Canis lupus familiaris: one gene and its partner. Each later gene encodes a partner of the first gene's protein in a complex. Links are inferred from orthologs where the notes say so. Each region holds a gene or a part of one and is shown on either strand. Other genes may lie near its edges.

Region 1 (3,805 bases):
GATTTTCCATATATTGGACCATGTGTGTGAATAGACATAGTTTTACTTCTTCCTTTCCCAGTTTGGATGCCTTTTATTTCTGTGTATATTTCAAAGGTGGAGCCAGTGGGATTAGCTGCTAGATGTGTCCTGGAACATGAGAGAGAGAGAGATGGAAAGGGAGAGAAATCAAGTATCCCTCCAAAGACTCCCAAGATTTTTGGCTTGAGCAACTTGAGGAATGGTGTTGCCGTTTATTGAGGCTTCACTGGCTGGGCAGGGGCTGCTGGAAAGCTTTGCTTTAGATTGGTGACATTCAGAAATGCTTATTAGTCAGGTAAATAGAGATGCTAGGTAGCCAGCAGTTGACTAGACTGCAATTCAGGAGAATGGCATAGTCCTCAGTGGTATTTAAAGTCATTACTTTGGATGAGCTCACCAAAAGGTGAGCGTGGGCCGACAGAGAAGAGGTTCACAGCATGGAACACCTCATCATTAGAATTGGGATAAGGAACTAGCACAGGGATGGGAGTCGACAACCCTGTGGCTGGTGGAGACCTGAGTGGACTGGTTTGAGTGGGGTCCTGTCTCAGTCTCCTTTGCTGATACAGAAGCCATCTGTGTTCCAAAGCCCACTAGGAAATATTCCACGCGTACTGGTGTTATGTAATTAACAAAATAGGGGTTTCAGGCTTAACGAACTACTTGGAATAAATGGTTTGTCCAAAATAGTTAATGGAGACTATTCCTACATGTAGGAATGTTTGAAGTTACGAGTTCCTGGAAGTAAGTCAGAAAAGCACAGTTATGTGAATTTACCATACTTCATACTAGTGCCTAATCCAAGCCCTCATGCTGTTGAACTGAAATCTCCAGTGGTGCTTAGTCTTGTAATAAGGTCTCTTCACTGATGGATGACCTGTTTTATCTTTCAGATATAATGGTGAAGTAGGAGACATTGTGGTGGGGAGAATCACAGAGGTAAAGTTGGTATCAGATTGGTTTTTACAAAGTAAAAGCAAGCTGGTGATTGAGTGGGATAGTCACTCTCTGTAGTTAAGTAAATGGGGCACTCATTGCATTTGACTCTTATGTGCCTCCCCCTTTTTAAAGGTTTTATTTATTATTTAAGAGAGAGAAAGAGCACACTGCTCCAAAGTTGAGCACAAGCAGGAGTAGGGGCAGAAGGAGAGGGAGAAGCAGACTCCCGCTGAGCAGAGAGCCAGACATAGGGTTCCTTGATCTCAGGACTCTGGGATCATGACCTGAGCTAAAGGCAGACGCTTAACTGACTGAACCAGCCAGGTGCCTCTTATGTGCCCTTTGATGTAAACAGTTGGTGTGTTGTATTGGGGATTATTGGTCACTTAACAATGTGAGTTCTTGCCCCTGGAGTCTGTGTCCAATTGTGAAATTTCTCTGTAGGTTCAACAGAAGAGGTGGAAGGTGGAGACCAATTCTAGGCTGGATTCAGTCTTGCTCCTGTCATCCATGAACCTTCCTGGAGGAGAGCTGGTACGGGTCTCCAGGCTGGATTTACATAGTTTGCTAGCAAAAGCTCTGGGGTCTGTTGCTCCACTAGGGAACTCTTGCTTTATGCTGAGGTTGCCTCTTTTTTTTTTTTTAATTTAAGAGTTTATTTATTTATTCATGAGAGGACACACACACACAGAGAGAGAGAGAGAGAGAGGCAGAGATACAGGCAGAGGGAGAAGCAGGCTCCATGCAGGGAGCCTGATGTGGGACTCGATCCTGGGACTCCAGGATCATGCCGTGGGCCGAAGGTAGGCGCTAAACCGCTGAGTCACCCAGGGATCCCGAGGTTGCCTCTTTTACTTGTGTTTATTTCCTGTGAGATTTGCTGCCTGGAGGTACATGTAGGCTTTTCACTTGGCCCAGGCCTTCCAACATAAGCAGCAGTTGCTATGTGGTAGGATCTGGAACAGCCTTGGGGAGTGAGCCCAAAAGAGAGAAGAGAGGCTCTCAGATGCTTGGGGCTCATTTTCCTTTTCTGGGTGTTATCAGCTTTGCATGGTGAAGGTGTTCCTTGAAAAGTTGTGTTTAGATTAGCTTTTCATAAATTGAGTGGCATTTGGTTATTCCAGACAACTGCAGTACCTAAGGGGTGGTCTTTTGTAAAATGCTGTGGTTTCTCTTCAGTCCAGCATGTATGTTCAGAGGGGCTCACTGTGCTAGGTTCTCTGGAGAACGCAAGATAAAGGAGGCTCAGCTCAGTTCCTCAAAGTGCACAGATTAGCAGGGGAAGCGAGATAACATCTAAATACCTGGCAGTCAAAGAATAAACAAGTGTCTGTACAAAAGGAGTGAGTGATTTCACTAGGAGATGCTTGTATGAAATAGGGGCCTTAGAATTGATCCCTGAAGAATGAATGGAATTTCACAGGGAATCTGAGCTAATGGGAAATGTGTGAGTAAAGATAGAGTCAAGCCAGAGCTAGTCTGGTCCTGCTGGAGCATGGAGGGCTGCCACAGGAGGTGAGTGTGAGAACGGAGGCTGGGCAGGATTGGGAGGGTTTTCAGTAGCATGAAAGGAGTGGGAATACTGTCCAGAGAAGGGGGGGCGGGGAGGAAAGAGTGGAGGAGCTGTGGGAAGGCCTGTAAAATGGAAAGTAATGGTGATCGCTCTGGTTTTCCTTGAATGACACTGTTTACCTACTATAGTGTCTGAGTACTATGGCTGGCCCCAAAGCTCTCAAGAGGAATTGAAAAAGAAGAGGAGAGAGATTGTTCTGCAGGATCTGACTTAAGTCATGTCATCTCTCTGTGTTTCAGAGGAGAAGATCTGCAGAAGACGAGCTGGCAATGAGAGGTTTCTTGCAGGAAGGGGACCTCATCAGTGTATCCTGCATCTGCCTTACAGCATCTCGTTCTGTGTGAAGCTGGGAGATGGGGCTTCTGGCGTATGTCTCCGACTGGAGACCGATAGTCCTGGTGGGGATCTGGCTCCTAGATCAAGTGTCATGGGCTCTGCTGCAGCCTTTCTCCATCTCCTTCACCCAGCCGGGCTCTTTAGCCCTTGTTCAGACCTGTTGCCTTGGTCATTTCTTTGGGGTTGTTCCTCATGGTGGCCTGTGCTTTAAGTTAGACTCAACTTTTCTTAACCATGTTAGCGCTTTTATCCAGGGAGTAGAAGAGGTATTATGTCAAGATACGTAAGAGAACCAAGGGGGAGAGGTTAGGTCGCAGTGGTGTCCTCTGGGTCTGTCTAAGGCTGCAAGTGGGGCTGTTGGGGATGGGAGAAAAGGATGGAGAGGTGAGGCCAAGGGCCCAAGGAAGGCAGGAGCCATGAGAGTATTGTTCCTTTATTAGTCTGGCCAGGCCGAGGTACAGGCGGTGTTCTCTGATGGCGCGGTCTCTCTGCACACAAGGAGTCTGAAATACGGAAAAGTAAGTTGGGCTCTTGCTATTCCTGGATGCTGACTGAGACTTGAAACCCTTTTCTGAATCCCCAGTGCTCTCTGGAGTTTGGCCCTAAAGAGCCCTGGAAGTTAAGCATTATGGGCTGGCATCCCACAAACTGGGTGGTTCACATGGTCGTGGGTCAGTAGCATTGTAACAGGTGACAGCTTCTGTTCTCACAGAGATTGTTGTGGCAGAAGAGCTCCTAGGACCATGGGCTCTGCGGCTCTGCTGTCTCTGCTTGCTCCCAGGGGCTCTGCAGCTTTGTGATGGGGCAGGGCTAAGAGGCTGTACTAGGAGCAAAACCTGATGGCCTTGGCTCTAGCCAAATGTCCAGTCAATAAAATGGATGTCATTACTGGGAAAGATTGGTTTGCCACTTGAGCTTAAATGAAATGTCACTGCT
Region 2 (4,604 bases), on another chromosome or scaffold:
GACCTCTTCTCTTTCCACCTACACTTGTTCTCTTTATTTCATCCAATCAATAGTGTGAAACACCATCTATAGCCAGAGAATTCCAAATTATATATTTAGGTTGAGTCTCTCTCTTTTTAAGATTTTATTTACTTATTTGACACAGAGAGAGAGAGAGAGAGCGCGCACAAGGGGGGAGCAGCAGGCAGAGGGAGAGGGAGAAGCAGGCTCCCCACTGAGCAGGGAGCCTGATGCTGGGTGGGATCCTAGACCCTGAGATCATGACCTGAGCTGAAGGCAGATGCTTAACTGACTGAGCCACCCAGGCGCCCCTGGGTCTCTCCTCCCAAATGCAGACTTCTATATCCTATTGCCCTGTCCATATAGTCACTGTGATGTCCACCAGGCACTGCAAACTTAATGTTCCAAATTGAACTCCTTATCTCCCAGTACAGCTGATTTGGAAAAAAAATCTTGGTGTTATCCCTCTCCTTCTCACACTCCAACACTGAACCATCTGCAAGTTTTGTGTTTTACTTTCAACATACATACACCCAGAATCTCACCACCTCCACTGCTTCCACTCTGGTCTGAGCCACCGCATCTCCCCTTCTTTCTCATATCTATACAGTCAACACTGCAGCAGAGAGATTCTGTTAAAATATATCCAGATCATGTCAACCCTCTGAGCAAAACTTGGAAGCAGTGGCCCCCAGCTCATTCATTATGCATCACATGACAAGCAATCCTCCTTAGCTCTCCCCAGCCTCCTCACTGCTCTGGCCACACAGTCTACAGACTATTCCTCAAACACACCAGACAAATCCTTGCCTCAGGGCCTCTGCCCCTGCAGTTCTTCATCCTAGGTATGCTTTTCCTCCTGCTTATCTTCAAGGTTTGCTCCCTTACCTTTAGGTCTTTATTCAAATGTTACCATCTCATCAAGGCCTTTCCTGACTATCCGGTTAAGATCGCAACCCTCTCTGGCACACCCTATTTCCTTTCCCTACTATAATTTTTCTCCATAGGCATCTTCCGACATATTTTTTTTTAAAGATTTTATTTATTTATTCATGAGAGACACAGAGAGAGAGAGAGAGAGAGACAGAGACACAGGCAGAGGGAGAAGCAGGCTCCATGCAGGGAGCCCGATGAGGGACCTGATCCTTGGTCTTGAGGATCACGCCCTGGGCTGAAGGCGGCGCTAAATCGCTGAGCCACCCAGGCTGCCCTCCTACATATTTTTTTTTTAAAGATTTATTTATTTATTTATTTATTCATGATAGACAGAGAGAGAGAGAGAGAGAGAGAGGCAGAGACACAGGCAGAGGGAGAAGCAGGCTCCATGTGAGAGCCTGACGCGGGACTCGATCCCGGGACTCCAAGATTGCACCCTGGGCCAAAGGCAGGCGCCAAACCACCGAACCACCCAGGGATCCCCTTCCTACATATTTTACTTATCTTTTGTCTGTCTCCTCGACTAGAACATAAACTGTTAAGTCAGGGATTTAAAAAAAAATTTTTTTTAAGATTTATTTATTTATTCATGAAAGACAGAGAGAGAGACAGAGAGAGAGAGAGAGAGGCAGACAGAGAAGCAGGCTCCATGCAGGGAGCCGGAGGCAGGAGCCAAACCGTGGAGCCACCCAGGCATCCCTTTAAAATGTATTTTATTGGGATCCCTGGGTGGCGCAGTGGTTTGGCACCTGCCTTTGGCCCAGGGCGCGATCCTGGAGACCCGGGATCGAATCCCACGTCTGGCTCCCAGTGCATGGAGCCTGCTTCTCCCTCTGCCTGTGTCTCTGCCTCTCTCTCTCTCTCTCTGTGTGACTATCATAAATAAGTAAAAATTAATATAAAATAAAATAAAATGTATTTTATCCACGTATTCCCAGGACCCAGGACAGTGCTTAATGCGAATACACGTGTTCAATGAAGGAATGAATGAAAACAGGTTTTGTACCTGGGTAGAAGGTAATGCCCCTAGTGAGGAGGCTGAAGCATTTATGGGGGTGATTCTTAGGCTATCTTCAGAGGAATATTCACCCGGGGCAGGGAGCTGAGATGCATTTGGTCACGGGAAGGAGATATTTTACCCAATAGGGAAAGCCTGCCCCAAACCTAGGGATATTTACACGTATGGAGAGATGTGTATTGCTGTCAAAGGGATATATACCGCACAATCACTCTCAAATACTCTGAAAAGTATTTACCTGGACAAAAAGACATGCCCGCAGTCCAGAGAGTAATGAAGCCGGTAGTGTTGATTTGCGGGTCTATTTACGCGCAAGGGCAGGTTTGCCGCAGCCTGGCGTGCATGGACCCGGGGTGTCCGCGGGGGAGGCGGGAGACGAATTTAATCAAGGGAGATATTTACTCTGCTGAGCGCCTCTCTCCTCGGAGTATTTACCACGGTGGCGATACCGTCTCCCTTCTAGCCGGGAGCGCAGGATACGTTACTCCGGCATATCCGGGAGTATCCTCCCGGGCAAGAACTGCACCACCCGTGCAGGAGGGACACTTACCAGCTAGTGGCACTCCTCTGCACGGTAACCTGTAACCTTCCGAAACAAATACAACGTGGCGAACGTGGCACAGGCAGTATTTGCCTAGGGTAAGTCCTTACCTTGCAGGAAAGAGGCAGAGCCATCCGGCCGGGACAGCAGGTTCTGCTCACAAGCAAAGTGCCGGAGGCTGCAGCCCGGGCCCCGAGGGCCGGACTCTGTTCCAGACTCCGCGCAGGTCTTGGCGTCCGCCGGCAGCGCCCCCTCCATCGCCCCAGACCCCACGTGCCGCTGCGGAACCTCGCTTCCGCACGGGAGCGCGCGCGGGCGTCCAGCCTGCGTGCCCAGTGCGCACGCGCAGGTCCGGGGCGCCAGGACCCGTTCCCGCACGTGGCTCCGCGTTTACTAACAATCTGGCCCCTCCCACTCCCGCCTCGCAAGCCCATTGGAGAGTAGCGAAGAGAGGGCGGGCCTTGGCATGGACTCGTCCTACCCGAAGCCCCCGCGCCCTAAAGCCCTAAGGCTCTGGTCAGGTTGTCCTCTCCTTTGCCTGTTACAGAAACAACTAAGATGAGGTGATGAGAGTAATTTTGGCAAGCTAGATTGTTTGTTCCTCCCGTACCCGTGCCCTGGAGACTGCAGGGTGGGTCGCTGGTGGTTTCTTGGCAGGGCGGTGCTAGCATTTGAGTCAGGCTCCTGAAGGGGCAGCCCCCAGTCTAGCCGAGGAGAGGGGCGGAGCTCTGAGGGGTTGTGAGCCAAGATGGCGGTGGCGGCGGCGGCAGCGAGGGTCTGGGGCTCGAGTCGAGGTTTGGGCCAGGCTGGTCTCCTGCTCCTGCGCCGGCCTTGGGCTCGGGGGCTGGCTAGATCTGTGAGTACCTGGGGAGTTTTTCCCGAGGGAGAATAGGGATGTCAACGCCGTCTTCCGACGTGGGGTTCGTGCAGGGAGTGAGCGAAGGGCTGTCACAGAGGGGACCGGGGCTGAGAGAGCTGCTCCGTGAGGACATTCGGGAAGAACTTCCACTCCCTCAGGAGAGGAGAAGTGAGGCAGCCTCCTCTGTGGGCCCGGAGAGAGGGAGACAACTTGGAGAGAGAGAAGGGGTTCCGCTTTAGTTGCCACTCATGCCCACGGGAGGCCGCGTGGAGGGACACGGTGGGACGGCGAGACATTGCCCCGCAGGCGTTGGAGACTGCGACTGCCCGAGGCTGAGGCTTCCGGGTGTGGCTCCCCCTCAGGAAGGAGAAAAGAGAGATCAGCTTCTCCGACGCGGGCTTTTATAGTGCGCTGCGTTTGTTTTACTATTGTTCTTTTTTTTTTTTTTTTTTTTTTTGAGATTTTATTTATTCATGAGACCCAGAGAGAGGCTGAGGGAGAAGCAGGCTCCCTGCAGGGAGCCTGATGGGGGACTCGATCCCAGGACCCCAGGATCAGGACCTGGGCGGAAGGCAGACGCTCAACCACTGAGCCACCTGGTCATCCCACCCACATTTCTGGGTAACACTTGAGAGATGCCTCAATTCTTATCAAAAGTGTCAGAATTCCCTTGGGTTGATGCTGCAAACTGTAAGTTCACACAGCGGAAGTCTAACTTAGAAGCTCGTTCAGTGGGAGAGAGGCCTTGGGCTGCGGAACCATGAACTGAAATTTCCCAGGTCAGAGAGTAGTGTTTGGGAAGGCGGGTTCCTGTCCCCCACATGCTGGACAGAGGACTGCCCCTCCGGACCTCAACAGAGGGGCGCGTTCCCCTTTCTATAATGCTAACTGACCACCTCGTAGGGTTGTGGTAAAAATCAAGTATGTAATGTGCTGAGAACTGGACCTGGTATTTGATACAAGCAATAGGAATGTTGGTCACTGTTGTTGAAAGTGGGGGTGGAGGGAAGGGAGAGAAACTGACCTTGGAGATCAGGAGAAGAAAGGAGGTGACCTTGGTCGGACCTGAACAGGTGAGGGCCCTTGGAGGGAAAAGCGCCAAGATTTTGTGGGGTTGGGTCTGACCCTCTGATTCCCTAATTCATTAGGGAAGGAAGATAGAATCTATGGGAAAGACACTTTAGGGAGAAGAGCAGGGAAGGAGTTGGGGAGAGAGGATGGGCCAGGTTTGAGAGGAGGGAGAATAGGTA

The links.
Region 2: EXOSC2 (region 1) and EXOSC5 share a complex: the UniProt entries of both Homo sapiens proteins name them as parts of the RNA exosome core complex. The link is inferred for Canis lupus familiaris from reciprocal best matches to the Homo sapiens genes EXOSC2 and EXOSC5.

What each region holds. Positions count from the first base shown.
Region 1 is NC_049230.1:53,360,876-53,364,680, reverse strand, and holds part of EXOSC2 (exosome complex component RRP4), read left to right. Parts: intron 1-914; coding exon 915-960; intron 961-1,404; coding exon 1,405-1,494; intron 1,495-2,772; coding exon 2,773-2,838; intron 2,839-3,318; coding exon 3,319-3,387; intron 3,388-3,805. UniProt on the Homo sapiens protein: Non-catalytic component of the RNA exosome complex which has 3'->5' exoribonuclease activity and participates in a multitude of cellular RNA processing and degradation events.
Region 2 is NC_049222.1:113,382,752-113,387,355, reverse strand, and holds the start of EXOSC5 (exosome complex component RRP46), read right to left. Parts: upstream 2,845-4,604; 5' UTR 2,754-2,844; coding exon 2,606-2,753; intron 1-2,605. Other genes in the region: BCKDHA (2-oxoisovalerate dehydrogenase subunit alpha, mitochondrial), read left to right, coding at 3,244-3,351. UniProt on the Homo sapiens protein: Non-catalytic component of the RNA exosome complex which has 3'->5' exoribonuclease activity and participates in a multitude of cellular RNA processing and degradation events.